Anolis sagrei: one gene and its partners. The protein of the gene in region 1 purifies or fractionates together with the protein of each later gene. This does not show direct contact. Links are inferred from orthologs where the notes say so. Each region holds a gene or a part of one and is shown in the gene's direction. Other genes may lie near its edges.

Region 1 (7,078 bases):
GATAAGCTTACTGGTTTCTGGAAACTTGATGCCGTCTGCTGTTGACTGGATATGAGATTATGACTCGGCATTTTAGTCTGTTTAATAGATTGTTACATGTTTTAATTGCTTATATGTTTAGATTGCTTATATTTTTATGAGATGTGTTTTATTGTTTATCTGTGTGGCACTGAATTTTTGCTGGATTTATAAGTCGCCTTGAGTCTGCTCCCAGGTTGAGAAAGGTGGGATAGAAATGAAGTCAATAAATAAATAATTGACATGAAATTTAATAAAGTCTCATTGTTTGATTTGAAAACTGCTGGCTGGTTTTTACGCCACCAAGGAAAGGGGTACGGGAGGAAAGAAATGGGGGCTGGGTTGGTGTTAATGGAGCTGATAGCTCTGTTCATGTCCATCTGGAACAGGACAATGGGTTTTGGTTGGCGATATAATGGGTGCCAGGGGTGTTGGCACAGCCTCAATGGGGTCCCCAGGGAGGGGATGTGATCTGGCGATTAGAATTGGAAAGATTTCACAGATGCATACTATTTTGGAAAATCCCTGTGAGTCTTCTTAAATCCATTATGAGATTCTCGAGCTAAATGGTGAGACTTTCCCTAGGGTTTATGTGTACCTGCTTGTCTAACTTTGACAAATTCATTCGGATGCCACCTGAAAGTAGGGGAAAGTTTCTGGGTACCCTCAGAGTCATGGGTTTTGGTTGTCCTGGCTTTCAATAACAGAACATTTAAGATTTGGGATATGCAGGTCAGGGATGTCAACCTGTATTACTCCCAGCATTCTATTGATTTTGATTATTGGTTTTCTCCTATTATTGAATCTGATAATCTTCTACCAAACCCTGCTGTTTCCAGCAAGCCTTTCCACTCTTGTATAACAGTCATTTTCACTATTCTGTTACCTGGAGGGCCCCATCTACACTGCCATATAATCCAGTATCCGATTCCAGATAATCTACTTTGAACTGGATTATATGGCAGTGTAGTTTCATATAATCGAGTTCAAAATGTATAATCAGATACTGGGTTATATGGCGGTGTAGATCCAGCCAAGGACCATATAAGATTTAGGCTGAATAGAAACTGCCATATAATCTACCGTATATTCTGGCGTATAAGACTACTTTTTAACCCAAGAAAATCTCAAAAGTCAAGGGTCGTCTTATACGCAGGAGTCATCTTATACGTGGGAATAGTATATGTGGGAGTTGTCTTATATGTGGGAGTAGTCTTATACGCTGGGAGTAGTCTTATAGAGTGGGTGCTGAAATTTCCAATCCGGATTGGAGAATCTGTGGTTGCTGCATAATTTGGGGGGAACTCAAAAATGGCAGTGGCCGTGTCCCTGCCGTATGCAGCCACTGTATGAAAGCATTAAGGGCGACGCTGTACATGTACAGTAGAAGAAAATCCATTCATCAGGTGTCAATCTGTTTGTGTATACATATACAGTGATATGTGCATGTTTGTACAGGGAAACATGTAGATACATGTTACAATACAAGGCGCTGAACAGATAATCTGTTCACGAGATGCAGAGCCAACCTTCAGAAATGGGGCCACAAAGTGGCATCCACGACATGCAAGTGTGGAGAAGAACAAACTACAGACCTGAAATGCAACCTGACCCCCGCCACATGCACAATGGAGGACCTTCTTGCAGCAACACCAGAGGCACTCCAAGTGGCCAGATACTAGTCAAAGAATAATTAATAGAATACCAAGCCTGCAAACTTTGTGTTTTGTTTGCAATACAACTGTTTTGGTTCGCTCCTAACATGATAAAAAATGTACAATATAAGGGCTTAGTTTTTATTGTATTCATTGTGTATTATTTGTTTTGTATTATTATTTTTATAAACTGTTGGATTAATTCATAAATGATTTCAATTAATTCATAAATGACCAGCTTTCAAATTTCAGGTGAAGGGCTTTTTTGGTCAAATGTATCAGGAAGGCCTGAGTTCAAAACTCCAAACAGCTGTGAAATGCAATAGTCACAGGGTGCATCTACATTGTAGAATTAATACAGTTTGGCATCACTTTAACTGCCATGGCTCCAATGCTATGAGATCCTGGGAATTGTAGTTTGATAATGCAGATAATGCTGGCATGGCTGTGTCTTTTCACCGAATGCAACCAACAATATAATGGCATCTTTAATACATACATACATATACTAGCTGTCCCCTGCCATGCGTTGCTGTGGCCCAGTCTGTTGATCTGGAAAATAAAGTAATGAGAAAGTGTTGGTTTCTAATATATGTAATTCTTTTATGTTTGTGAGTAAACAGTATTTCTTGTTGTTTCTTTGTCAGTGTTGATGTGGAGAGTGTCTGGTTTGCCTACTCTGGAATATGCAACATATCATTGTCCTTCTTTAAGGGTCTCTTTCAAATCTGTGATACTATATCTGTGTGTGTGTGAGAGAAAATCATATCTATCTATCTATATTTATGACTGGATGGCTCTTTGTCGGGAGGGCTCGGATTACATTTTCTTGCCCTGGTGAAGAGAGTTGGACTGGATGGCCTTAAGTATTTTCTGTTGGTCATGGGGGTTCTGTGTGGGAAGTTTGCCCCATTTCTGTTGTTTGTGGGTTTCAGAATGCTCTTTAATTGTAGTGAACTATAAATCCCAGTAACTACAAATCCCAAATGTCAAGGTCTATTTCCTTCAAACTCCATCTGTGTTCATATTTAGGCATATGGAATTTTTGTGTTAAGTTTGGTCCAGATCCATCATTGTTTGAGTCCACAGTGCTCTCTGGATGTAGGTGAACTACAACTCCCAAACTCAAGGTCAATGCCCACCACACCCTTCCAGTGTGTTCTGTTGGTCATGGAAGTCTGGTATGCCATGTTTGGTTCAATTCCATCGTTGGTGGAGTTCAGAATGCTCTTTAATTGTAGGTGAACTATAAATCCCAGCAACTACAACTCCCAAATGTCAAGGTCTATTTCCCTTAAATTCCATCTGTGTTCATATTTGGGCATATGGAATATTCGTGCCAAGTTTGGTCCAGATCCATCATTGTTTGAGTCCACAGTGCTCTCTGGATGTGGGTGAACTACAATTCCCAAACTCAAGGTCAATGTCCACCAAACCCTTCCAGTTTTTTTCTGTTGGTCATGGGAGCCCTGTGTGCTAAGTTTGGCCCAATTCCATCATTGGTGGAGTTCAGAATACTGTTTGATTGTAGGTAAACTATAAATCCCAGCAACGACAATTCCCAAATGACAAAATCATTTTTTTTCTGAGTGGAGGACATAAATTGGACTGTTAGGTGTCTTGTGTCCAAATTTGGTGTCAATTCCCCCAGTGGTTTTTGAGTTCTGATGGTAGCACAAACTAACATTACATTTTTATTTATATAGATATATCTTTATTAAGTATTTACAAAGCACAAAAGCATTTTTTTTAAACCATGAGTATAAAAGAAAGGCTAAAGACCTTGTAAATGCTAAAGACCTTGTAAAACTACACCTCTCTAGTGTGTGTGTGTTTTTCAAACTTGAGCTCTACCAGCTGTCCAATCACGAGCTGAAGCTTCGATGACGTCATTCGCCCAGTGCCCAAAGGAAATAGAGGCTTGCCCCAAGGGACCCGGATGTACGTCAAGCTGCCTTTTAAAAAAATGGTAAACCTTTACGCTGATACTATTGGTTAGTATTTTAACCAATCAAGAGGGACTATTAGGACATAGGCGGGGAGAAAATAGGCGGCAGATGAGGGCAATCATTGCAAGGCATTATTGCGAAAGTGACAACCAAATTATCCAATCGGAATGAGAGCTCTTTTGAGCGACAGAACTCTTAGCCTATTGGATTCTAAGGACCCGCCTTTCCGACAGAACTCTTAGCCTATTGGATTCTAAGGACCCGCCTTTCGCTTTGCAAATCTCTCCGGATTCCTCCTGATTGTTATTCGCACTGTCCCCGTTTACTTCACCATCGGCGCGGATATGATTGGCCGTCGGTTTGATTGACAGCGAAAGCGACCAATGAGGTGGTGGGAAACGCCAACGTGAGGAGGCGAAACGTGAAAAAGAGGGCGTGGCTATGCTGCGCGGCGCAGAGGTGGAGGGCGGCGGGGACGCCATTTTGTGAACCATCCGAAGCGTGGATGTGGGAAACGTACCTGGTGCGAAAGACTGAAAGCTGTATATTACCAAATAAAGCGGCGGCGGCTTCGAGTCGGTGAGTTCGTGGCTCGGGAAAAGAAGCGCGGAGGGGGGCGGGGCCTGGAGGCTAAGAATGGTATCGCCCTTTCTAACCCGCCCCCCCCCCCTTTCAGCACCAACTTGGTATGCCCCATGTCAGCTCCCCCCCTTTCGAATGTTCCAACGTTGCACCCCTACTCTGTACAAATGGTACGTTCCGTTCTCATTCGTTCCAATGGCTTCTGGGAGATACCATAGCGCGGGAAAAGGGGGAGCGGGTGGGAATGAAAGAAAATGGATCCTTCTTCGATTTGAGCTGGAGGAGAATAAGAGGTTTCGAACGTTGCACCCCCGCTCTGTACAAATGGTACGTTCCATTCTCATTCGTTCCAATGGCTTCTGGGAGATACCATAGTGCGGGAAAGGGAGGGCGGGTGGGAATGAAAGAAAATGGATCCTTCTTCGCTTTGAGCTGGAGGTGGATGAGAGATTGGTGTTTTCAATTGGATTAGGAAAGAAATGGCATCACTGTTCATTACTCTGAGCGCAAAGGAGGCCCAAAGGTGTTTATACCACATCCTATGCAGTATCTTAATCCGGATTATGACACTAACACAGGCATAGTGTTTCTGCGGGATTGGATTTGGCAGAGTATATAATCATAGAGTTGGAAGAGATATCATGGGCCATCCAGTCCAACCCCATTCTGCCAAGAAGCAGGAAAATTGCATTCAAAGCACCCCCAACAGATGGCCATCCAGCCTCTGTTCTAGAAGCATTCTCTCCTGACGTTTCGCCTACATCTGTAGCAAGCATCCTCAGAGATTGTGAAGTTTGTTAGAAACTAGGAAAATTGGGTATATATATCTGTGGAAGACCCAGGGTGGGAGAAAGAACTCTTGTCTGTTGGAGCTAGGTGTGAGTGTTTCAGTTGGCCACCTTGATTAGCATTTGATGGCCTAGAATCATAGAGTTAGGGCTTCCAGTCCAACTCCCTGCCTAGAAGCAGGAATATTGCATTCAAAGCACCCCCGACAGATGGCCATCCAGCCTCAGTTTAAAAGCTTCCAAAGAAGGAGCCTCCACCACACTCCGGGGCAGAGAGTTCCACTGCTGAACGGCTCTCACAGACATAGAATCATAGAGTTGGAAGAGACCTCATGGGCCATCCAGTCCAACCCCCTGCCAAGAAGCAGGAATATTGCATTCAAAGCACCCCCGACAGATGGCCATCCAGCCTCTGTTCTAGAAGCATTCTCTCCTAACGTTTCGCCTACATCTGTAGCAAGCATCCTCAGAGATTGTGAAGTTTGTTAGAAACTAGGAAAATTGGGTATATATATCTGTGGAATATCCAGGGTGGGAGAAAGAACTCTTGTTTGTTGGAGCTAGGTGTGAGTGTTTCAATTGGCCACCTTGATTAGTATTTGATGGCCTAGAATCATAGAGTTGTGGCTTCCAGTCCAACTCCCTGCCAAAAAGCAGGAAAATTGTATTCAAAGCACCCCCGACAGATGGCCATCCAGCCTCTGTTTTAAAAGCTTCCAAAGAAGGAGCCTCCACCACACTCCGGGGCAGAGAGTTCCACTGCTGAATGGCTCACACAGTCATAGAATCACAGAGTTGGAAGAGATCTCATAGGCCATCCAGTCCAACCCCCTGCAAAGAAACAGGAATATTGCATTCAGAACACCCCTGACAGATGGCCATCCAGCCTCTGTTTAAAAGCTTCCAAAGAAGGAGCCCCCACCTCACTCTGGGGCAGAGAGTTCCACTGCTGAATGGCTCTCACAGTCAGGAAATTCTTCCTAGTGTTCAGATGGAATCTCCTCTCTTGTAGTTTGAAGCCATTGTTCCGTGTCCTAGTCTCCAGGGAAATAAAAAACAAGCTTGCTCCCTCCTCCCTGTGGCTTCCTCTCACGTATTTATACATGGCTATCATATCTCCTCTCAGCTTTTGCTTCTGCAGGCTAAACATGCCCAGCTCTTTAAGCCGCTCCTTATAGGGCTTGTTCTCCAGACCCTTGATCATTTTAGTCGCCCTTCTCTGGACACAGCTTCAAGTGTGGGGCCCAGAATTGGACACAATATTCCAGGTGTGGTCTAACCAAGGCAGAATAGAGCATGGGTAGTATGACTTCCCTAGATCTAGACACTAGTAAGGAAGTTCTCCCTAATGTTCCGATGGAATCTCTTTTCATGCATAAATCAACAGGCAATTTGAGGATGATTTGTTCCCAAGTAATAAAGATCTTGAAGTGGTCAGATGCTGTTCAGAAATTAGAAGTATCCTTATTCTTGGGTGAATATATTTGTGTCACATAGTCCTGCTAGGTTGTTGCAGCAATAAATAAAATGCCTGATAGGACCTTTAAGCCCAGTGCATCCTGCCTAAATTTGCGTGAAAGTAATCCTCACTAAATTCAGTGCAAGCTGATATCAGTTGCAGTAAGATTCAAGAGGATGGACCAGGAATGATTACGCAATAATAAATCTCCTAAGAGTTAAAAAATGCCACTGTGTAGCTTTTTCTCCCTCTCCATCACATTCCTTAATACAGTTTGAGCATCCTTTATTTGAAATTTTGAAATACTCAAAAATGGTCCATGTTGATGACTGAAATAGTGCCATGTTTGCTTTCGGATTGTTCACTGGATAAACACTTTGTTTGATGGATAAAAATATTTAAGGATGTTGCGTATAAAATTACCTTCAAGCTATAAGGTGTTTATGCTACAGAAGAGAACTTTGGGTTTGTGTTCCATTGTCAATGTATATCGAATCTGAAATGTTTCTAGGTCTTAACATCTTGGGTATAGGATACCCAGCCTTTAAAGAAAAGCAAAGAACTAGTTCCAAGATTTGGTATGATCCATTATTCTTCTTGTTCCTTTATGTAATCTTGAGTGATCTG
Region 2 (7,632 bases), on another chromosome or scaffold:
AGCGCCTTCCAAGTCACCCAGTCCTCTGTGTGCTCAGGGGGGAGTCTCTCATTTGATATCAGCCATTGGTTGAGGTGTTGGGTTTGAGACTGCCAGTTTTGGACTCTTGCTTGCTGAGGTGTTCCAGCGAGTGTCTCTGTAGATCTTAGAAAACCATTTCTTGATTTAAGTCGTTGATGTGCTGGCTGATACCCAAATAAGGGATGAGCTGGAGATGTCTCTGCCTTGGTCCTTTCACTATTGGCTGCTACTTCCCGGCAGATGTCAGGTGGTGCAATGCTGGCTAAGCAGTATAATTTCTCCAGTAGTGTAGGGCGCAGAGATCCCGTGATAATGCGGCATGTCTCATTAAGAGACACACCTACTGTTTTAGTGTGGTGAGATGTGTTCCACACTGGGCATGCATACTCAGCAGCAGAGTAGCATAGCACAAGGGCAGATGTTTTCACTGTGTCTGGTTGTGATCCCCAGGTTGTGCCAGTCAGCTTTCGTATGATATTATTTCTAGCACCCACTTTTTGCTTGATATTCAGGCAGTGCTTCTTGTAGGTCAGAGCACGGTCCACAGGTTTTTTTTTTTCGTGTCAGGAGCAACCTGAGAAACTGCAAGTTGCTTCTGGTGTGAGAGAATTGGCCGTCTGCAAGGACGTTGCCCAGGGAACACTCTGATGATTTGATATTTTACCATCCTTGTGGGAGGCTTCTCTCATGTCCCCACATGAGGAGCTGGAGCTGATAGAAGGGACTCATCCGCCTCTCCCCGGATTCGAATCTGTGACCTGTCGATCTTCAGTCCTGCCGGCACAGGGGTTTAACCAATTGCGCCACCGGGGGATCCACGGTCCAGAGTGACTCCCAGATATTTTGGTGTGCTGCAATGCTCCAGTGGGATTCCTTCCCTGGTAATCCTCAGAGCTCGGGATGCTTGGTATATTTTGCTGAGACACCAACAGTCTTTCATCATAGGAGCGCAGTGGGTTAAACCCCTGTGTTGGCAGGTTGCAGGTTCGAATCCAGGGAGAGGCGGATGAGCTATCAGCTCTAGCTCCTCATGCGAGGATATGAGAGAAGCCTCCCACAAGGATGTTTTTGTTGTTCATTCGTTCAGTCGTCTCCGACTCTTCGTGACCTCATGGACCAGCCCACGTCAGAGCTCCCTGTCGGCCGTCACCACCTCCAGCTCCTTCAAGGTCAGTCCAGTCACTTCAAGGATGCCATCCATCCATCTTGTCCTTGGTCGGCCCCTCTTCCTTTCGCCTTCCACTTTCCCCAGCATAATTGTCTTCTCTAGGCTTTGCTGTCTCCTCATGATGTGGCCAAAGTACTTCAACTTTGTCTCTAGTCTCCTTCCCTCCAGTGAGCAGTCGGGCTTTATTTCCTGGAGGATGGACTGGTTGGATCTTCTCGCAGTCCAAGGCACTCTCAGCACTTTCCTCCAACACCACAGCTCAAAAGCATCGATCTTCCTTCGCTCAGCCTTCCATAAGGTCCAGCTCTCACATCTGTAGGTGACTACAGGGAATACCATGGCTTTGACTAGGCGGATCTTTGTTGCCAGTCTGATGTCTCTACTCTTTACTATTTTATCGAGAGTGGACACTGCTCTCCTCCCAAGAAGTAAGCGTCTTCTGATTTCCTGGCCACAGTCTGCACCTGCAGTAATCTTTGCGCCTAGAAATACAAAGTCTGTCACGGCCTCCACATTTTCTCCCTCTATTTTCCTGTTGTCAATCATTCTTGTTGCCATAATCTTGGTTTTTTTTTATGTTTAGCTGCAACCCCGCTTTTGTGCTTTCTTCTTTCACCTTGATTAGAAGGCTCCTCAGCTCCTCCTCGCTTTCGGCCACAAGGATGATAAAACATCAAAAAATGCCTCTAGAACATGGCCATAAGAGGAGAAATGCCTCTAGAACATGGCCATATAAGAGGAGAAATGCCTCTAGAACATGGCCATATGAGGAGAAATGCCTCTAGAACATGGCCATATAAGAGAAAATGCCTCTAGAACATGGCCATATAAGAGGAGAAAATGCCTCTAGAACATGGCCATATAAGAGGAGAAAATGCCTCTAGAACATGGCCATATAAGAGGAGAAAATGCCTCTAGAACATGGCCATATAAGAGGAGAAAATGCCTCTAGAACATGGCCATATAAGAGGAGAAAATGCCTCTAGAACATGGCCATATAAGAGGAGAAAATGCCTCTAGAACATGGCCATATAAGAGGAGAAAATGCCTCTAAAACATGGCCATATAAGAGGAGAAAATGCATCTAGAACATGGCCATACAGCCCGGAAAAACCTACAACAACCCATCAAAAAATCATCCGGGCGTCCCCTGGACAATGTCCTTGCAGATGGCCAATTCTCTCACACCAGAAGCGACCTGCAGTTTCTCAGGTCGCTCCTGGCACGACAAAAAAACAAAAACAAAAACAAAAAACCCCATAGTTTCTAGCCCATGCCTGGGCCAACATGGGCCCTCCACATGTTTTGGAGTTAAAACTATGGCTATTAGGAATGTATAAATATGTGAGAGAAAGCCACAGGGAGGAGGAGGAGGGAGCAAGCTTGTTTTCTGCTTCCTTGGAGACTAGGACGCGGAACAATGGCTTCAAACTACAAGAAAGGATATTCCATCTGAACACGAGGAAGAACTTCCTGACTGTGAGAACCGTTCAGCAGTGGAACTCTCTGCCCCAGAGTGTGGTGGAGGCTCCTTCTTTGGAAGCTTTTAAATAGAGGCTGGATGGCCATCTGTCAGGGGTGATTTGAATGCAACATTCCTGCTTCTTGGCGGAATGGGGTTGGACTGGATGGCCCATGAGGTTTCTTCCAACTCTTTGATTCTATGAATTGTGGGAGTTGAAGTCCAAAGAGCCTGGAGGGAGGGCCCAAGTTGGCCCAGGCCTTGCCTAGAATCAGTGGGAAATGTATTGTCGAAGGCTTCGACAATACATTTCCAGAGGTTCCCAGAAGACATCACGGCGCTGTTTCACCATTGCCTCACCACCAGCTATTTTCAGTGGGACAATGAATTCTACGAACAGAAAGATGGAGTAGCTATGGGGAGCCCTCTCAGCCCAGTCATAGCTAACTTCTACATGGAACAATTTGAAAAACAAGCTCTTGAAACAGCAACCAAAAAGCCCACTATATGGTTCAGATATGTGGATGACACTTTCACCATTTGGAGCCATGGAGAAGAAGAACTCAACAGGTTCCTGGAACATCTTAACAGCATCCACCCTAACATCCAGTTCACTATGGAAATAGAAAAGGAAGGAAGACTGCCTTTTCTAGATGTCCTAGTCATCCGCAAACCAGATCAACAATTGGGTCACACCGTCTACAGAAAACCCACACACACAGACAGATATCTACATAAAAACTCCAACCATCACCCAAGTCAAAAAAGAAGCACCATCAAAGCCTTGGCAGACCGTGCAAAAAGAATCTGTGAACCCCACCTCCTCCAAGGTGAACTGAACCACCTCAACTGGGCTCTACAGGCCAATGGATACTCCACCTCAGACATCAGAAGAGCTGCAAGACCAAGAACAAGCCACAAGAATAAAGATGAAGATCCACCCAGAGGAAAAGTGTCCCTGCCATACATCAAGGGAACCACTGACCGGATAGGGAAGCTGATGAGGAAACACAACATACAAACAATCTACAAACCCACCAAGAAAATTCAACAAATGCTACGTTCAGCAAAGGACAAGAGGGATCCTCTCACCTCTGCAGGAGTCTACCGTGTACCATGCAGCTGTGGACAAGTCTACATAGGGACCACCAAACGCAGCGCCCAGACACGCATCAAGGAACATGAAAGGCACTGCAGACTACTCCAACCAGAGAAATCAGCCATAGCAGAGCACCTGATGAACCAACCTGGACACAGCATTCTATTTGAGAACACAAAAATGCTGGACCACTCTCACAACCACCATGTCAGGCTACACAGAGAAGCCATTGAAATCCACAAACATGTGGACAATTTCAACAGAAAGGAAGAAACCATGAAAATGAACAAAGTCTGGCTACCAGTATTAAAAAATTCTAAAATTAAAACAGCAGAGAGAAAAACAGGCAGGGACATCTAATCACCTTTCATTAAGAGTTTGCTCCAGGCACAGTCAGCCCATTGTATGCTAATCAAGGTGGTCAATTGAAAAGATTCACACCTAGCCCATCTTACAGTAGCCTTTTGTCTCACCCTGGTCTTTCCACAGATATATAAACCCCCCTTTTTTCCCAGCTCCAGACCTCACCCTCTGAGGATGCCTGCCATAGATGCAGGCGAAACGTCAGGAGAAATGCCTCTAGAACATGGCCATATAGCCCGAAAAAACCCACAAGAAATCAGTGGGAAAGCCGCCATGTTTGGCCAACACGCGAGACAGGCGTCATCTTTCCTTGCTCCCCGTTTCTTCCCCTCGGCCAATCAGAGAGCGGGTCAGGGCGCGCTTTCTCTTAGCCAATCAGGGAGCGGGCCAGCGCGCGCTTCCCCCCGACCAATCGGAGACCGCGTCAGGGCGCGCTTTCCCTTGTTCTCCAATCAGCGAGCGGGAGAGGGACAGTAAGTAGGGCGCCGGGCACGTGACCGCGACGCCACCACCACCGCCGCCGCATTCCTTCCGTCCGCCATTTTAGGTTGGGATCAGCGAGGCGGCGCCATTAAAGCGCAAGAGAGAGACAGAGAGAGAAAGAGAGAAGGCGTGAGAGAGAGAAAGAAAGGAAGAGAAAGAGAGGAGAGCGAGGCTGCTTCAGTTTGAGCCGGCTTTCCTCCCCGTTTTGCCGACTCCCGCTTTCTCCTCAACTCCCAACATGTCGGACCAAGACTTCATGGGCGACGCAGGCGCTGCCGAGGCCTTTGACGAGGAGGCTGAGCAGCTGGAGGGAGTCGCGGTCGGAGGGAACGACGAAGAGGACGGCGCGGAAGGCGGCGGCGGCGGAGGGGGCGGCGGCGAATCCGAAGGCGCCAAAATCGACGCCAGCAAGAATGAGGAGGATGAAGGGTACGTTGGGTATGTTTCAACCGAACCGAACCGGGCCTGGGAAACGGGGGTGCGCGACGCGTGTGTGGTGTGTGCTGTGTGTCCCCCTCCCCCCATTCCCTTCCGCCATGCAGGAAGTCACAATCAAAGCCCCCCCGACAGATGGCTATCCAGTTTCTGCTTTGAAAACTCCCAGAGAGAGAGAGGCCCCACCCCTCCCCCCGCTTCCCCATTCTCTTCCGCCATGCAGGAAGTCACAATCAAAGCCCCCCCGACAGATGGCCATCCAGTTTCTGCTTTGAAAACTCCCAGAGAGAGAGAGGCCCCACCCCTCCCCCCGCTTCCCCATTCCCTTCCGCCATGCAGGAAGTCACAATCAAAGCCCCCCCCCCGACAGATGGCCATTATTATTATTATTATTATTATTATTATTAACATTATTTATACCCCGCAAAATCTCCCGAAGGACTCGATGCGGCTCACAAAGTCCAAGGCCGCCAACAACACAACATACATAATACACAATAAACTTAAAAGCAAATAATAAATTTTTGAGTCCCCCTTCCCCATTCCCTTCCGCCATGCAGAAAGTCTCAATCAAAGCCCCCCCCCCCCCCCGACAGATGGCCATCCAGTTTCTGCTTTGAAAACTCCCAGAGAGAGAGAGAGAGAGGCCCCTCCCCCCACAGGTCTTCCTCAGACTGTAATACTCGAAGTAAAAAATTAAAATACTGATATTGTACCATGCTAATAAAATAATATATATGTAATGTAATATAATGTATTGTATATACATGTAATTTTATATACAATGTAAATTTTTACTAATATTATATAATGTAATATAATATATTGTATATACATATAATATTTATAACATAATGTAATGCAATATAATACTCATAGTAATATATCATAATTATAAATTTATATTACATGTGATATTACTAATCATATTACAGTATAATTGATATAGTGCAATATAGCAATATTTAAAACTGATATTGTACTATGTTAATAATATATTGTATGTATATATACCTTGTAAGCCGCTCTAAGTCCCCTTCGGGATGAGAAGGGCAGCATATAAATGTCGTAAATAATAAATAAATAAATAATATATTGTATATGCATATATTTATATTATAATGTAATGCAATATAATACTAATAGTAATATATAATAAAATTTTATTTATATTACATGTAATATTACTAATACTACAATATAATGGTATAGTACAATATAGTAAGATGTTATACTGATATTGTACTATGTTAATAATGTAATGTATATACATATATTTTTAATATAATAATGTAATGCAATATAATACCAATAGTAATATATAATAAAATTATATTTATATTACAATATAATTATATTGTAATATTACAATATAATGGTATAGTACAATGTAGTAATATTTAATACTGATATTGTACTATGCTAATAATGTAATATAATATTACTAACAATATTATATAATTAATATATCTTGTATATACCTATAATATTTATAATATATTGTAATGCAATATAAGACTAATAGTAATATGATATTATAATAGTATATTTATATTAAATTTAATATTACTGACAATATTATATAATTAATATATTGTATATACATATAATATTTATAATATAATGTAATGCAATATAATACTAATAGTAATATGGTATTATATTTATATATTTATATTAAATTTAATATTACTAACAATATTATATAATGTAATATAATACCTTATATATAGATATATTTATAATATAATGTAATGAAATATAATACTAATAGTTATATGATACTATAATTATATATTTATATTACATGTAATGCTACTAATATTACAATATAATGGTATAGTACAACATAGTAATATTTAATACTGATATTGTACTATGCTAATAATATAATATATTGTATAAATATATATCTTGTAAGCCGTTCTGAGTCCCCTTCCGGGTGAGAAGGGTGGCATATAAATGTCGTAAATATATATAAAATAGTGTTACAGTTTTATTGTAGGTTAAGTTTGCCTTAATATTTCAATTAAGTTTGTATTTATCTATCTATCTATCTATGAGATAGAATATCAAGGCAAGGAGATTTCACCACCCGCCCAGGCAGCAGCATATTCCACTGTCCCAATTTCTTCCCAAAACTGTAATACTTTTAAGTAAAAAAAACAAACATGTATAACAGTGTTGCAGTTTTACCGTAAGTTCAGTTTGCCTTAATATTTTAATTACTAATTCCATTGTTGGAAATTATTCATACTGTAATACTTAAAGTAAAAAAATAAAATACATATATAATAATGTTACAGTTTTTTAAAAATACTTTTTTTATTGCATGCAGGTAGAAAAATATCACAATTTATCACCATTTCAGAATACATATAAAATATCATTTTCTTAGTGTTCTTACCCATGCCTAATCCACCTTTATCTCCCACTTGTGTCTATTGATTTTACATCCCCTCCCCCATCCCCCAATAGTGTTACAGTTTTATTTTAGGTTAGGTTTCCCTTAATACTTCAATGTGTGTGCATATATGTGTGTGTGTATGTGTGTATGTATGCATGTAATAGTGTACCTAGAGAAGAAAAATTCACCACCTG
Region 3 (8,021 bases), on another chromosome or scaffold:
CAGTGATGGGTCAGAAGGCAACACCAGACTTCATAAAGGACTCCAGGTCCCTTCTGGGCATCGGTCTAAGGATGCCAGGTTTTTTTCTTATGCACAGTTCCCCTTAGCCACACTCCAAAATTTGTTTCTAAAACTTGCCAAGATAAATAAAAACAAAAGAACAAATAATAAATGTTGGAAATGTAAGAGAAAAGAAGGTATATATGGTGGTCTTGTCATAAAAACCACGTATATTAGACAACTGTTAAAGAAACAATCCAAATAATTTTGCAACAGAATATACCATCGTCACCAGAAATAGTTTTGTTGGGCTGGCAAATGATATCATCAATAAGAAAAATATGGTTTTCTTTCAATATGCCATAGCACAGGCATAGGCAAACACCTCCAGGTGTTTTGGACTTCAGCTCCCACAATTCCTGGTCTCAGGCCCCTTCATTTCCCCCCTCAGCTGTAGGTTCTGTGATGTTTTTTTTTCTCCCCTTTTTAATAGTTTGAGTTAATGTTTTCTGATTTTTTTGAAAACAAAATAAAAACTTATTTGCATTGAAAGCTATGCAACACTCGTTCAGTTCTGAAAGAAAAACATGGAGACATGGAGGTCCTTCACACTATGAGCTGCAGATCCAGTGTGGAGTGGTGGTGTGAGCGATGGACGGGTAGACTGCGTGGCTCGTATAACTCAGGGCGTGTTGAGGCCTGGTCTGAGGAGGAGGGGGATCCTTTGGAAGTGGGGCCTTGTGCTCCTGAATTGGAGCCTGATGTGGAGTCTGAATTGGAGCCCCCCATAACTCCGGGACTGCCAGTACAGTGAAAAGATGGATAAAACAAAGGGTTGTTGTAGGTATTTTTCCGGGCTGTATGGCCATGGTCTAGAGGCATTCTCTCCTGACGTTTCGCCTGCATCTATGGCAAGCATCCTCAGAGGTAGTGAGGTTTGTTGGAACTAGGAAAAAGGGTTTATATATCTGTGGAATGACCAGGGTGAGACAAAGGACTCTTTCCTGCTGGAGCTATTATTATTATTATTAACTTTATTTGTACCCCGCTAGCATCTCCCGAAGGACTCGATGCGGCTTATAAAGGACAAGCTCTCAAAACACAACATAACAATACACAACCAAGGTGTGAATGTTTCAACTGACCACCTTGATTAGCATACAATGGGCTGACTGTGCCTGGAGCAAACTTTTGTTGAGAGGTGATTAGATATGCCTGCTTGTTTCCTGATTGTTTACTCTCTGTTGTTGTGCTGTTGTAATTTTAGAGTTTTTAATACTGGTAGGCAGATTTTGTTCATTTTCATGGTTTCTTCCTTTCTGTTGAAATTGTCCACATGCTTGTGTATTTCAATGGCTTCTCTGTGTAGTCTGACATTGTGGTTGTTGGAGTGGTCCAGTATTTCTGTGTTCTCAGATAATATGCTGTGTCCAGGTTGGTTCATCAGGTGGCTGATTTCTCTGGTTGAAGTAGTCTGCAGTGCCTTTCCTGTTCCTTGATTCGTGTTTGGGCAATGCTGCATTTGGTGGTCCCAAATGCAGAGAACAAAATCAACCTCTGTACATGGCATTCATCGACCTTGCAAAGGCATTCGACACAGTGAATCGCAGCGCTCTCTGGACCATCCTCCAAAAAATCGGGTGCCCAAACAAATTTGTGAACATCCTGCGGCTCCTCCATGATGACATGATGGCAACAGTTTTGGACAGCAGTGGCTCCCAAAGTGACCCATTTAAGGTGGAATCGGGTGTCAAACAGGGATGTGTTATTGCCCCAACTCTATTCTCCATCTTCATCACTATGATACTTCACCTTGTTGACGGGAAGCTTCCCATTGGAGTGGAAATCATCTATCGGACAGATGGCAAGCTATTCAACCTCAGCAGACTGAAAGCCAAAACCAAGGTCACAACAACATCTCTTATAGAACTCCAGTATGCTGATGACAACGTCGTCTGTGCGCATTCAGAATAAGATCTACAAGCCACTCTAAACACCTTTGCAGAAGCATACGAGAAGCTCGGCTTGTCATTGAACATTGAAAAAACCAAGGTGCTTTTCCAGCAGGCACCAGCCAACCCCTCTCCAATGCCAGTGATACAGCTTAATGGTGTAACACTAGAAAATGTTGATCATTTCCGCTACCTTGGCAGCCACCTCTCCACCAAAGTCAACATCGACACCGAAATACGTCGCCTGAGCTCTGCAAGCGCAGCATTTTTCCGAATGAAGCAGAGAGTGTTCGAGGACCGGGACATCCGTAGGGATACCAAGGTGATTGTTTATAAAGCTATTGTCCTCCCAACCCTGCTCTATGCCTGTGAGACGTGGACTGTCTACAGACGTCACATGCAACTCCTGGAACGATTCCATCAGCGCTGCCTCCGAAAAATCCTGCAAATCTCTTGGGAAGACAAGCTGACAAATGTCAGCGTGCTGGAAGAAGCAAAGACCACCAGCATTGAAGCGATGGTCCTCCACCATCAGCTCCGCTGGACCGGCCATGTTGTCCGGATGCCTGACCACCGTCTCCCAAAGCAGTTGCTCTACTCCGAACTCAAGAACGGAAAACGGAATGTGGGTGGGCAGGAAAAGAGATTTAAAGATGGGCTCAAAGCCAACCTTAAAATCTCTGGCATAGACACTGAGAACTGGGAAGCCCTGGCCCTTGACCACTCCAGCTGGAGGTCAGCTGTGACCAGCAGTGCTGCAGAATTTGAGGAGGCACGAGTGGAGGGTGAAAAAGAGAAACGTGCCAAGAGGAAGGCGCGTCAAGCCAACCCCGGCCGAGACCGCCTTCTACCTGGAAACCAATGAAGAAGAAGAAGATGCAGAGCAAGAATAGGGCTCCACAGCCACATACGGACCCACAAGAATATTGGAAGACAATCATCCTCGGAAAGCGAGGGATCGCCTAAGTGAAAGTGAAGTAAGGTCCCTATGTAGACTTGTACACAGCTGCATGGTACCCGGTAGACTCCTGCAGAAGTGAGAGGATCCCTCTTGTCCTTTGCTGAACGTAGCATTTGTTGGATTTTCTTGGTGGGTTTGTAGATACTTTGTATGTTGTGTTTCCTCATCAGCTTCCCTATGCGGTCAGTGGTTCCCTTGATGTATATTTGTATGATCCCTCTTGTCCTTTGCTGAACGTAGCATTTTTTGGATTTTCTTGGTGGATCATACACAGAGGCGGCCCTAGGTACTTTTCAATGGTAAGCAAACAGTATCCCCCCCCCCCAACCAATCACTGATATATATTTTCTGTTCATCGTGGGACTTCTGTGTGCCATAATTGGTTCAATTCCATCATTGGTGGAGTTCAGAATGCTCTTTGATTGTAGGTGAACTATACATCCCAGTAACTACAACTCGCATATGTCAAGGTCTGTTTTTCCCCAAGAGTGCTTCAAGAGTGCCCCTGGGCAAAATCAACTATACTGCAAATGCTTACTTTGCGTAATGGGTTGAGACGCCCCTGATCATACACATTAAAATACAGTCAAGGTAACTTTGGTGGGCCTCGTCCTTGAGTGGCTGCATCTTTTCCTCAGTTTTGTGCCTTCCTGTGTGATATTTCTGTTATATGATATATGATATGTCATTTCCTTGTTGTTGTTCATTCGTTCAGTCGCTTCCGACTCTTCGTGACCTCATGGACCAGCCCATGCCAGAGCTCCCTGTCGGCCGTCACCACCCCCAGCTCCTTCAAGGTCAAGCCAGTCACTTCAAGGATGCCATCCTTCCATCTTGCCCTTGGTCGGCCCCTCTTCCTTTTTCCTTCCATTTCCCCCAGAATCATTGTCTTCTCTAAGTCATTTCCCTGAGGGAAAAATAAACCTCTCAAAAATGTGCACATCGCCTCAGAGAGGCCCCTAAAATGTTCCTTTCCTGAGCAGTCTGGTTTCACGGAAAGGATTCCCATTTCTGCACGTTTTGAGATGGGCCTAATTCTTATTTTGCCAAGAAATAAAAACATGGGTTGTTGTAGGTTTTTCGGGCTGTTTAAACAAAACATGAACACAGAGAGGTGTCAATGTCTTGTCAAAGGCTTTCATGGCTGGAATCACTGGGTTGTTGTAGGTTTTTTCGGGCTATATGGCCATGTTCTAGAGGCATTCTCTCCTGACATTTCGCCTGCATCTATGGCAAGCATCCTCAGAGGTAGTGAGGTCTGTTGGAACTAGGAAAAAGGGTTTATATATCTCCAGAAAGACCAGGGTGGGACGAAGTACAAGAGTCAACCCTTCTTTTTAAACAGAGGCTGGATGGCCATCTGTCGGGGGTTATTTGAATGCGATGTTCCTGCTTCTTGGCAGGGGGTTGGACTGGATGGCCCATGAGGTCTCTTCCAACTCTTTGATTCTATGATTCTTCCTAATGTCTTTTAAAGGGATTTACTTTGGTGTCACCATTGTCCTTTAATCTAATTTCAGAACACTTTTTGAAACATTTTCTTTCTAGGAAAATGGGTTTATATATCTGTGGAATGACTGTGGTGGGGCAAAGAGCTCTTCTCTGCTGGAGCTGGGTGTGAATGTTTCAATAGAGAGGTAAAATCCTCCCTTCAGAGCTCGTTGCCTGCCTCGCAAATCCCCCTTCCCCCAATATTCTCCTCAGCCGCAGTGGTGGCCGCAATGCGCATGCGCACCGACGCCGCGGCCGGCTGGTTGGGGGGATGGGCACAGCCCTCGCGCTGCCAAAGCGCGCTCCTTTGCCTCGCGAGGCGCGCCCCCGTACGACTGGGAAGCCCGCCCCTTTCTCTACGTCATTGGCTGAGGCAGAGACAAAAGAGGAGGAGAGACATATTTGCATTCAAAGAAGCATAACAGGCCGCGTCACTTATGGGCAGAGAAATAGCAAAGGCCGGTGTAGAAATGTAAAGCGTGTCGCTATTGGCTGTTAAGAGAAAGCCTCATTCTCTAGACTTCCCGCCCATCTTTTCTGATTGGCTGGCGCTCGGAGTCTGAGTCTAAGCGAAGGAGGCGGGCGTAACACCCTGAGTGAGGGTTGTGAAATCCGCTCTGATTGGTGCGTCGAGAGGGAGCCTCGTTGAGCCGGTTAAGGAACGCGCAAAAGAAAGAAAGGAAGAAAGAAAGCCTGTGGGGAGCGCGCCCACGCGAGCCCAGCAGGAGGCGCGCAGGCGAAGGGCGGGGGAGGAGGAGGAGGAGAGAGCATCTCTTTGAGAGACGCAGGCAGTCACCTTCTTCTTTGTTCGCCGTCCCCGCCCGCGCTGGAACTCCTGGGCCGCCCGGTAAGCGAAAGGGCGCCGCGGGAGGGGATGGGGAGGGTGGATTGCGCATGCGCGGGGATGGCTCGCTGAATGAATGAGTGCAAGCCCGTGTGGACGGACCTGGGAGAGGGCATCGCGGGTGGGAGCATCCCACCTGAAGAGGAGGAGGAGGAGGGGGCGGGGAGAATTGGAAGGAAGCAGAGCATCCTTAGCCGGAATCTCACCTTGGATGGTAAGAGGGTGAACGTGTGAATGCCTGTACCCGTGTCTTCCTATTCCCATCCTCCCCCTCCTCTTTTCTCCCCTTTTTATTGCTCTTATTTCAGCCTCTGAAATATATAATCAACTCATCCATCATCAACATCATTATTATTATAATATTGTGAATGTGAACATTGACATATTTTGACAACACTATGATTAAAAATATAATAATAACTAGCCGTCCCCTGCCACGCGTTGCTGTGGCCCACATCAGGGTTCTGTGGCCCAATTCTATCGTTGGTGGGGTTCAGAATGCTCTGCGATTGTAGGTGAACTATAAATCCCAGCAACTACAACTCCCAAATGTCAAGATTCTATTTTCCCCAAACTCCACCAGTGTTCCCATTTGGGCATATTGAGTATCTGTGCCAAGTTTGGTCCAGATCCATTATTGCTTGAGTGCTCTCTGGATGTAGGTGAACTACAAAGCCAAAACTGAAGGTCAATGGCCATCAAACTCTTCCAGCGTTTTCTGTTGGTCATGGGAGAACTGTGTGCCAAGTTTGGTTCAATTCCATTGTTGGTGGGGTTCAGAATGCTCTGCGATTGTAGGTGAACTATAAATCCCAGCAACTACAACTCCCGAATGTCAAGATTCTATTTTCCCCAAACTCCACCAGTGTTCACATTTGGGCATATTGAGTATCTGTGCCAAGTTTGGTCCAGATCCATCATTGCTTGAGTGCTCTCTGGATGTAGGTGAACTACAAAGCCAAAACTGAAGGTCAATGGCCATCAAACTCTTCCAGCGTTTTCTGTTGGTCATGGGAGAACTGTGTGCCAAGTTTGGTTCAATTCCATTGTTGGTGGGGTTCAGAATGCTCTGCGATTGTAGGTGAACTATAAATCCCAGCAACTACAACTCCCAAATGTCAAGATTCTATTTTCCCCAAACTCCACCAGTGTTCACATTTGGGTATATGGAGTATTCGTGTAGAGTTTGGTCCAGATCCATCATTGCTTGAGTGCTCTCTGGATGTAGGTGAACTACAAAGCCAAAACTGAAGGTCAATGGCCGTCAAATTCTTCCAGTATTTTCTGTTGGTCATGGGAGAACTGTGTGCCAAGTTTGGTTCAATTCCATCATCGATGGTGTTCAGAATGCCCTTTGATTGTAGGTGAACTACAAATCCCAGCAACTACAACTCCCAAATGACAAAATAAATTTTTTTGAGTGGAGAACATACATTGGGTTGTTAGGTGTATTGTGTCCAAATTTGGTGCCAATTGCCCCAGTGGTTTTTGTGTTCTGTGGATACCACAAACGAACATTACATTTTTATTTATATAGATTTGAGCCTCTGAAATATATACTCATCCATCATCAACATCATTATTATTTGGATTTTTAAAAAAGAAAATATAATATTCCGAATGTGAACATTGACATATTTTGACAACACTATGATTAAAAATATAATAATAACTAGCCATCCCCTGCCATGCGTTGCTGTGGCCCACATCAGGGTTCTGTGGCCCAATTCTATTGTTGGTGGAGTTCAGAATGCTCTTTGATTGTAGGTGAACTATAAATCCCAGCATCTACAGCTCCCAAATGTCAAGATTCTATTTTCCCCAAACTCCACCAGTGTTCACATTTGGGCATACTGAGTATTCATTTATTATTTATTTAAAACATTTATATTCTGCCCTTCTCGCCCCGAAGGGGACTCAGAGCGGAGCACAACATATACATGGCAAACATTCAATGCCTGGGTACAATACATAAACATTAAAAACATTTATCTAAATATTAAAATACACCATTTAAAATAACACAATTTAAAACCGTCCTAACCATCCGCATCAAATCCAATTGGCCCTGTCATCTTCATGTAGAGTTTGGTCCAGTTCCATCATTGTTTGAGTCCACAGTGACCTCTGGATGTAGGTGAACTACAACTCCAAAACCAAAGGACGCTGCCCACCAAACCTTTCCAGTATTTTCTGTTGGTCATGGGAGAACTGTGTGCCAAGTTTGGTTCAATTCCATCGTTGGTGGGGTTCAGAATGCTCTGTGATTGTAGGTGAACTATAAATCCCAGCAACTACAACTCCCAAATGTCAAGATTCTATTTTCCCCTACCTCCACCAGTGTTCACATTTGGGCATATTGAGTATTCATGTAGAGTTTGGTCCAGATTGAATTGAATACTTTATTTGTATACCGCTCTTCTCAGCCCTTAGGCGACTCAGAGCGCTTAACAACAGTTTCAGTATACACAATACAAAATCATTGGGCATTTAAAAGCAATAGCATCAGAAATCATTAAACATCAGCACCAATACATCAGTACATCAATACAACAAATATAACAAATCCATCAGGTCTCATCAATGAAATCAGAATCCAAACTCGTTATCCATTATTCCGTGTTCCGATAATCAATCACTCATCCAGATCCATCATTGTTTGAATCCACAGTGATCACTGGATGTAGTGAACTACAACTCCAAAACCAAAGGACACTGCTTTCCAAACCCTTCCAGTATTTTCTGTTAGTCATGGAAGAACAGTGTGCCAAGT
Region 4 (6,970 bases), on another chromosome or scaffold:
CCTGTTATCAAGTATCAACATTCTCAATAAGCTGTGATATTTCCAAAATCTTCTCTGCCACCACTGTCAATAATCAAGGATAAATGGGCTCATTAGGAACAATGGAAGTGTTGATGACAAGGGAAAACATTTGCAGGTGCGAAAGCCGAAGCTTCCTGTACAGCTGGCTTCTAACTCAGGCCTCCCTATCACTAGAAAGAAAAATAATGACAAACATCACCATTCCAGGAAGATAGAGCTGATTTCTTTTCTAAAGCCACACTGGTGTAATTACGATAATGATAAACAGATTCTGAAAAAGTTTAAATATATTCTCTAGAAGAAAACACCACGAAAAAGAGAATTTTACTGAGCAGTAACACTGTCAATGGAGATACACTAGTTCTAGGGCAGTGGCTCTCAACCTGGGGTCCCCAGATGTTTTTGGCCTTCAACTCCCAGAAATCCTAAAATCTGTCAAACAGGCTGGGATTTCTGGGGGTTGTAGGACAAAAACATCTAGGGACCCCAGGTTGAGAACCACTGTTCTAGGGACTAATAAGCCTGTTATGCACATCCCTGCCTTGGGAAAAGGTTCACGGTCCAGTTTCCTAGTGAAAAGATATTCTGGAAAATTATGCAAATTTTCTACAACCAGTTTATTTGTAAGCAATTACAGTGAACAAAATATGTAGTAACACAGAGATCAGCATTCGCTTAATTTCCTAAATGTGCCTTTATGTACAATATTCATTACAAAATTTTATAAAGTCTTTATATATAAAATCTCAGCCTGCAGATGTTTGAGCTCGCAAAACTCAAAAAGTAGTCGGCCGATTGACTTGACATTTCGACACAAGGTTACATTCCAATACGCACGTGTTTTTAGAGTAAAATGAAATTTTGACACAATGTTGCATTTGAATACACACGTGTATTTAGAGTAAAACAAGTAGTCCGGGAGTAGACAAAGGAATCTGTGATGCCCAAATCAACCACTCACAGCCTAACTTTTATTTTACCTCAGCAGTATAAGAAATGAAATCTAAGCTCTAGCAACCAATTGCTGTACAGCTTTCCTTTTGCCTCAGCAGTAAAAGAAATAACCTATCACAAAACAGCTTTCATTTTACCTCAGCAGAAGAAATAATCACAGACCAGCTTTCCTTTTATCTCAGCAATATAAGAAAAATAGTTGTCGAGGCCCACTTTGGAATCTTGGCCTTTGGAAGCTGAGCTGTCCGCTGTAATTAGTACTGAACTGGCTTTTAAATTTTAAATATGTACGATTGTTATATAGTACTATGTTTATACTTTTTATAATGCCCTTCTGTATGTTTTTATGTTGGTAATTGCAATGCTTTACCATGATGGAAACCGCCCTGAGTCCCCTTGGGGAGATAGAGCGGTATACAAATAAAGGTTTATTATTATTATTTGATAAAATAACATATTTGGTTTACTCACAACATTCATGTGTTCAGCATACATAGCGATAAAACTTATCAGTCCAGTTTCAGATATGTCTGAGATGGTTCCCTGTGCCAGTCAACCAGGGCATCTCTCTTGTAACAAAAATAACTGTCAACAGGTCACATAGTAGTCAAAAAGGAGAGGAAGAGAGCCTGTGGTCTGCAGCCCCTCTTATAACTTCTCAGGAACCATAGAGTAAAGGAAGCTGCATACCAGAGCATACATACAGGAAACAGGAAACAACAGGATCATTGATAAACATTACTAGAGAAGGCTTGAAGAAAACTGTCATTTCCAACAAAAGGAAGGACAAAAGATGGGAGAAGAAATGGGGAAAGGGATGGAAGAAAGAAAAAAAAGGAAAGAAAAAAAGGGAAAAGGAACAAAAGAAGTGAGGGAAGGGGAGAAAAAGAAAGGCAGAGTACAGAAAAAGAAGAGGAGGTAGATATTTTAAGGAAAAGCATGGGAAGAAGGAAAGAAACAAAGAAATACTGTGTATTAAGGAAAGGAAGAAAAGAGCCACAAAAGAAAATGCAAACTCAGGCAGTGCCATGTATATACCCTAGGTAAAGGTAAAGGTTTTCCCCTGACATTAGGTCTAGTTATGTCCAACTCTGAGGGGTGGTGCTCATCTCCATTTCTAAGCCGAAGAGCCAGTGTTGTCCATAGACACCTCCAGGGTCATGTGGCTGGCATGACTGTATGGAGTGCCGTTACCTTCCAGTCGAAGTGGTACCTATTGATCTACGCATATTTGCATGTTTTCGAACTATTAGATTGGCAGAAGCTGGAGCTAACAGTGGGAGCTCACCCTGCTCCTCGAATTTGAACTTAATTTTTGATCAGCAGGTTCAGCAGCTCAGCAGTTTAACCTGCTTTGCCACTGAGGGCTCCTATTTATCTAATCGTGTGTGTGTGTGTCTGTGTATGGATGTTGGCTAGTTGGTTTGTACCACAAAGGCTCCTACATGGCTTGATAGATTTGGACCAAACGTGGCACACATACCCTGCACTATCCAACTTAAATTAATTGAAGGGGTTTTGAACTGAAAAAGCCACCCTTTTTTGCTAGGTTGGCAGAAGCTGGGGCTAACAGCAAGAGCTCACACCACTTCCTGGATTCGAACCTACGACCATTCGGTTAACAAGTTCAGCAGCTCAGCGGTTTAACCCACCAGTGGTTCTTTGAGTTGTGTATAAAATTACCTTTAAGATACGTATATAAGGTGCAAATGAAACAAAACAAGAATGATTGACAACTGGAAAATAGAGGGAGAAAATGTGGAGGCCGTGACAGACTTTGTATTTCTAGGCGCAAAGATTATTGCAGATACAGACTGTGGCCAGGAAATCAGAAGACGCTTACTTCTTGGGAGGAGAGCAATGTCCAGTTTCGATAAAATAATAAAGAGTAGAGACATCAGACTGGCAACAAAGATCCGCATAGTCAAAGCCATGGTATTCCCTGTAGTAACCTACGGATGTGAGAGCTGGACCTTGGGGAGGGCTGAGCGAAGGAGGATCAATGCTTTTGAACTGTGGTGTTGGAGGAGAGTTCTGAGAGTGCCTTGGACTGCGAGAAGATCCAACCAATCAATCCTCCAGGAAATAAAGCTTGACTGCTCATTGGAGGGAAGGATATTAGAGACAAAGTTGAAGTACTTTGGCCACATCATGAGGAGACAGCAAAGCCTAGAGAAGACAATTATGCTGGGGAAAGTGGAAAGTAAAAGGAAGAGGGGCCAACCAAGGGCAAGATGGATGGATCCTTGAAGTGACTGGACTGACCTTGAAGGAGCTGGGGGTGGTGACGGCCGACAGGGAGCTCTGGCGTGGGCTGGTCCATGAGGTCACGAAGAGTCGGAGATGACTGAACGACTGAACAACAAATCTGCAGAGTCCCTGAAACTTGGAACTATAACAAACATTAAATGGAAAGCAAACAAAATTGGAGCTCCTGGTGCAGTTGTACCTGCACAATAAGAGATACACAATCTATACTGCAGAGAATGTAAAATACAAGCGTCTCAACCAGGCCTGGGCAAACTTGGGCCTTCCAGGCGTTTTGGACTTCAACTCCCACAATTCCTAACAACCAGGCCCGGGCAAACTTGGGCCTTCCTTGAGGGCCTGAGGCTGTTAGGAATTGTGGGAGTTGAAGTCCAAAACGTCTGGAAGGCCCAAGTTTGCCCAGGCCTGGTCTAAGCAATCCTTTGGGCCCATCTACTTGTTTCCATCTGTTGGCAACATCCATTCTCATTACTGTCATAGTAATCCATATCTTCCATACTCCAAAATGGTCCTTATAAAGGCTTTCTTTCCTTGCTGATCATTTAAATCTTGCCACTTGAGTCTGAATGTTTGGCTAATAAGTTCCACTCTGTACCAAACTGAGTGTTGAATCCAGTTGTTGTTCTGCTCCTTCAAGCCACCACATCCCGCTCTGAGGGCGGCGCATGCGCAAACATGTCGCGAGCGTTCCTCTCCGCCTGTAACACTACAATTCCCAGCATGCCCCTGGCTTCCGGGCCAGTTCCGTCGAGGCTTCTCGTTCAGCGCCCGGCCCTCAAAGGTGGAGGAAGAAGGAGAGCGGCAAGATGGCGCTGACCAGGTGAGTTTTGTCGCTGCGAAGCGGGAGCTTATCAGAAATTGGAAGCCGATAGCCACCCCGTTCCCTGAGCCTTTTACGGGAAAGTCTCTGGTTGTAATTGATTTCCGTGGAGTGTGAGCGGGTTTCGGTGGAGGGGAAAAGCCTCGAGGGAGGCCTAGGCCGCAACGGGCATTCTCCCCTAAAAGTCGGTATTAATAGTATTCTAGTGGGCGGCCTTTCATTATTTCAGACCGCTTCCTAAAGTGAAAAATTGTCTTGTTTGCGTGGGAGGCTGGCCCTCCAGAAACAAAGAAGGGAAGGCCTTGGTGTTCAGTAAAGATAGGCAGGGGGCCATTGTGAAATTGTAACCTGAAATGGTTCCAGTTGTAACCTGAAGTGGGGTTGGGTTGGCATGGGCAAACTTTGCCCCCCCCCCCATGTTTTAGACTTCAACTCCCATAATTCCTAACAGCTGTCCAGAACACCTGGAGGGCGGAAGTTAGCCCATGCCTTGCTTGGCCTCTTTGGCCCCTTCCACACCACCCCACTTTCCTCCTCCTGGAGGTGCTGGAGGAAAGTGCTGAGAGTGCCTTGGACTGCGAGAAGATCCAATCAGTCCATCCTCCAGGAAATAAAGCCCGAATGCTCATTGGAGGGAAGGATACTAGAGACAAAGTTGAAGTACTTTGGCCACATCATGAGGAGACAGGAAAGCCTAGAGAAGACAATTATGCTGGGGAAAGTGGAAGGCAAAAGGAAGAGGGGCTGACCAAGGACAAGATGGATGGATGGCATCCTTGAAGTGACTGGACTGACCTTGAAGGAGCTGGGGGTGGTGACGGCCGACAGGGAGCTCTGGCGTAGGCTGGTCCATGAGGTCACGAAGAGTTGGAGACGACTGAACGAATGAACAACAACACACCACCCCAATATTGCAGGATCTGATCCTAGATTATCTTGCAGTGGAGACTCATATAACCCAGTTTAAAGCAGATAATCTAGGATCAGAAAAGGTATTTTGCCTGACTTATTATTATTATTAACTTTATTTGTACCCCGCTAACATCTCCCGAAGGACTCGGTGCGGCTTACAAAGGCCAAGGCCCTCAATAAAACAACAGCATAACAAATGCAACAATAAAACTCATAAAGCAAACCAATAAACATTAAAGCAATAACAGTAAAACATCAAACAATACATCATGACACAATTAAAACTAGGGCCGGGCCAAATGTAATGAATAAATTAAAAGTGCTGGACATGACAGGTGAAATGTAAGGATTTTAGGTTAGGTGCGATGTACAGGCAATCATCTCTGGTAAAGTGTGCTTGGGACATGATGCTGGGAGTTTTCTATTCTGGAAAGGCACACTGGAACAGCCAGGTCTTCAAGCTCTTCCTAAAGACTGCCAACGTTGGGGCTTGTCTGATGTCCTTGGGGAGAGAGTTCCAGAGTCGGGGGGGGGGGCTACCACAGAGAAGGCCCTGTCCCTCGTCCCCACCAAACGTGCTTGCGACGCAGGTGGAATCGTGAGCAGGGCCTCTCCAGATGAACGGAGGGATCGTGTGGGTTCATATATGGAGATGCGGTCACGCAGGTAGGCGGGTCCCAAACCTTTTAGGGCTTTGTAGGTGAGCACCTGCACCTTGAATTGGGACCAGGAAATGAACAGCAGCCAATGGAGCTCCTTAAACAGGACTTCCAGATATACAGGAAAAATGGATGAGCAGAAAGCGCTCTCTTCAGGCTGGTTTTTCAGGGCCATGTACTGTCCTTATGGACATGACCTGTGACTATTACTAGCACCTACACTCATAGATTCATGTGGGTAACACACCCTACAGAAAAAGTGGTTCCCTTGGGATCTAGGCGCAGTGTGGAAGGGGCCTCTGAGGGCCACAATATGAATGCTTTCGTCCAGTGTGTCTTGTAGTTCTACAAGATTTTCTTCGCCTTTGCCTCATCAAACAACACATCGCACAATTTCTTTTGTTAACATTGACCCATGGCAACAAAAGTGGTGTCAAACTGCATTATTCCCACAGCGTGGAGCAGGCATGGGCAAACTTTGGTCTTCCAGGTGTTTTGGACTTCAACTCTCACAATTTCTAACAGCCTAGAGTGTTAGGATTTGTGGGACTTGAAGTCCAAAACACCTGGAGGGGTGAAGTTCACCCATGCCTGCTTTATGGTGTTCATTGATGAGAACTGAAGTTCAAAACACCTCAAGGGCCAAAGTTATCCCATGTCTGGTGTAGAGGCATCCTAAGAAGGCAGTTGACTTCTGGGATTTGCAATTTGGCACAGATAGCTGAAAATACAACTCCCAGGATTCCTTAGCACTGAGCTGTGGGAGCTAAAGTGGTGCCAAAGTGCATCAGTTCTCCAGTGTAGATGCCCCCTTGGAAACTCATTGTCAGTTCTTTCTTGTCCTCATCTTTAGAGAGGACAGTTGTCTCACTTTCTCTTCAAGGTGCCAAAACTATTGCTGGCTTGTGGCATCCCTAAGGTGATCCAAGCAAGGGTGTTTTTGACTAGATTTGTTCAGATGGGATTTGCCTTTGACTTCCTCAAAGGTTGAGAGAGGGGCTTAACCAAGGTCAGCCAGTGTGCTGCCATGGATGTGTAGGGATTCAAACCCAGGTCTCCAGAGTCGCAGTCTAAAGGTAAAAAGATTACGTCAGAAATACAGTCCTAAGATGTGGAACTTATCTCCCTGTTCAATACCAGCTCTGCAGTAATGGTTTCAAGGGAGCCACTTTTTCTGTAGGGTGTGTTACCCACAAGAATCTATGAGTGTAGACGCTAGTAATAGTCACAGGTCATGTCCATAAGGACAGTACATGGCCCTGAAAAACCAGTCTGAAGAGAGCACTTTCTGCTCATCCATTTTTTCCTGTATATCTAGAAGTCAAGCAAAATGCCT

What was found. The genes of interacting proteins can lie anywhere in the genome.
Region 2: the proteins of HNRNPC (region 1) and HNRNPD purify together in Homo sapiens (affinity purification with mass spectrometry; 3 studies listed by BioGRID and IntAct, with this or other methods). This does not show direct contact. The link is inferred for Anolis sagrei from reciprocal best matches to the Homo sapiens genes HNRNPC and HNRNPD.
Region 3: the proteins of HNRNPC (region 1) and SMARCA4 purify together in Homo sapiens (affinity purification with western blotting; 3 studies listed by BioGRID, with this or other methods). This does not show direct contact. The link is inferred for Anolis sagrei from reciprocal best matches to the Homo sapiens genes HNRNPC and SMARCA4.
Region 4: the proteins of HNRNPC (region 1) and SNW1 purify together in Homo sapiens (affinity purification with mass spectrometry; 3 studies listed by BioGRID and IntAct, with this or other methods). This does not show direct contact. The link is inferred for Anolis sagrei from reciprocal best matches to the Homo sapiens genes HNRNPC and SNW1.

What each region holds. Positions count from the first base shown.
Region 1 is NC_090026.1:11,146,089-11,153,166, forward strand, and holds the start of HNRNPC (heterogeneous nuclear ribonucleoproteins C1/C2), read left to right. Parts: upstream 1-4,061; 5' UTR 4,062-4,201; intron 4,202-7,078. UniProt on the Homo sapiens protein: Binds pre-mRNA and nucleates the assembly of 40S hnRNP particles. Interacts with poly-U tracts in the 3'-UTR or 5'-UTR of mRNA and modulates the stability and the level of translation of bound mRNA molecules. Single HNRNPC tetramers bind 230-240 nucleotides.
Region 2 is NC_090025.1:17,071,990-17,079,621, reverse strand, and holds the start of HNRNPD (heterogeneous nuclear ribonucleoprotein D0), read left to right. Parts: upstream 1-4,620; 5' UTR 4,621-4,834; coding exon 4,835-5,034; intron 5,035-7,632. UniProt on the Homo sapiens protein: Binds with high affinity to RNA molecules that contain AU-rich elements (AREs) found within the 3'-UTR of many proto-oncogenes and cytokine mRNAs.
Region 3 is NC_090022.1:171,359,173-171,367,193, forward strand, and holds the start of SMARCA4 (transcription activator BRG1), read left to right. Parts: upstream 1-5,009; 5' UTR 5,010-5,251; intron 5,252-5,302; exon of another isoform or gene 5,303-5,462; intron 5,463-8,021. UniProt on the Homo sapiens protein: ATPase involved in transcriptional activation and repression of select genes by chromatin remodeling (alteration of DNA-nucleosome topology).
Region 4 is NC_090021.1:307,230,618-307,237,587, reverse strand, and holds the start of SNW1 (SNW domain-containing protein 1), read left to right. Parts: upstream 1-3,958; 5' UTR 3,959-4,049; coding exon 4,050-4,063; intron 4,064-6,970. UniProt on the Homo sapiens protein: Involved in pre-mRNA splicing as component of the spliceosome. As a component of the minor spliceosome, involved in the splicing of U12-type introns in pre-mRNAs.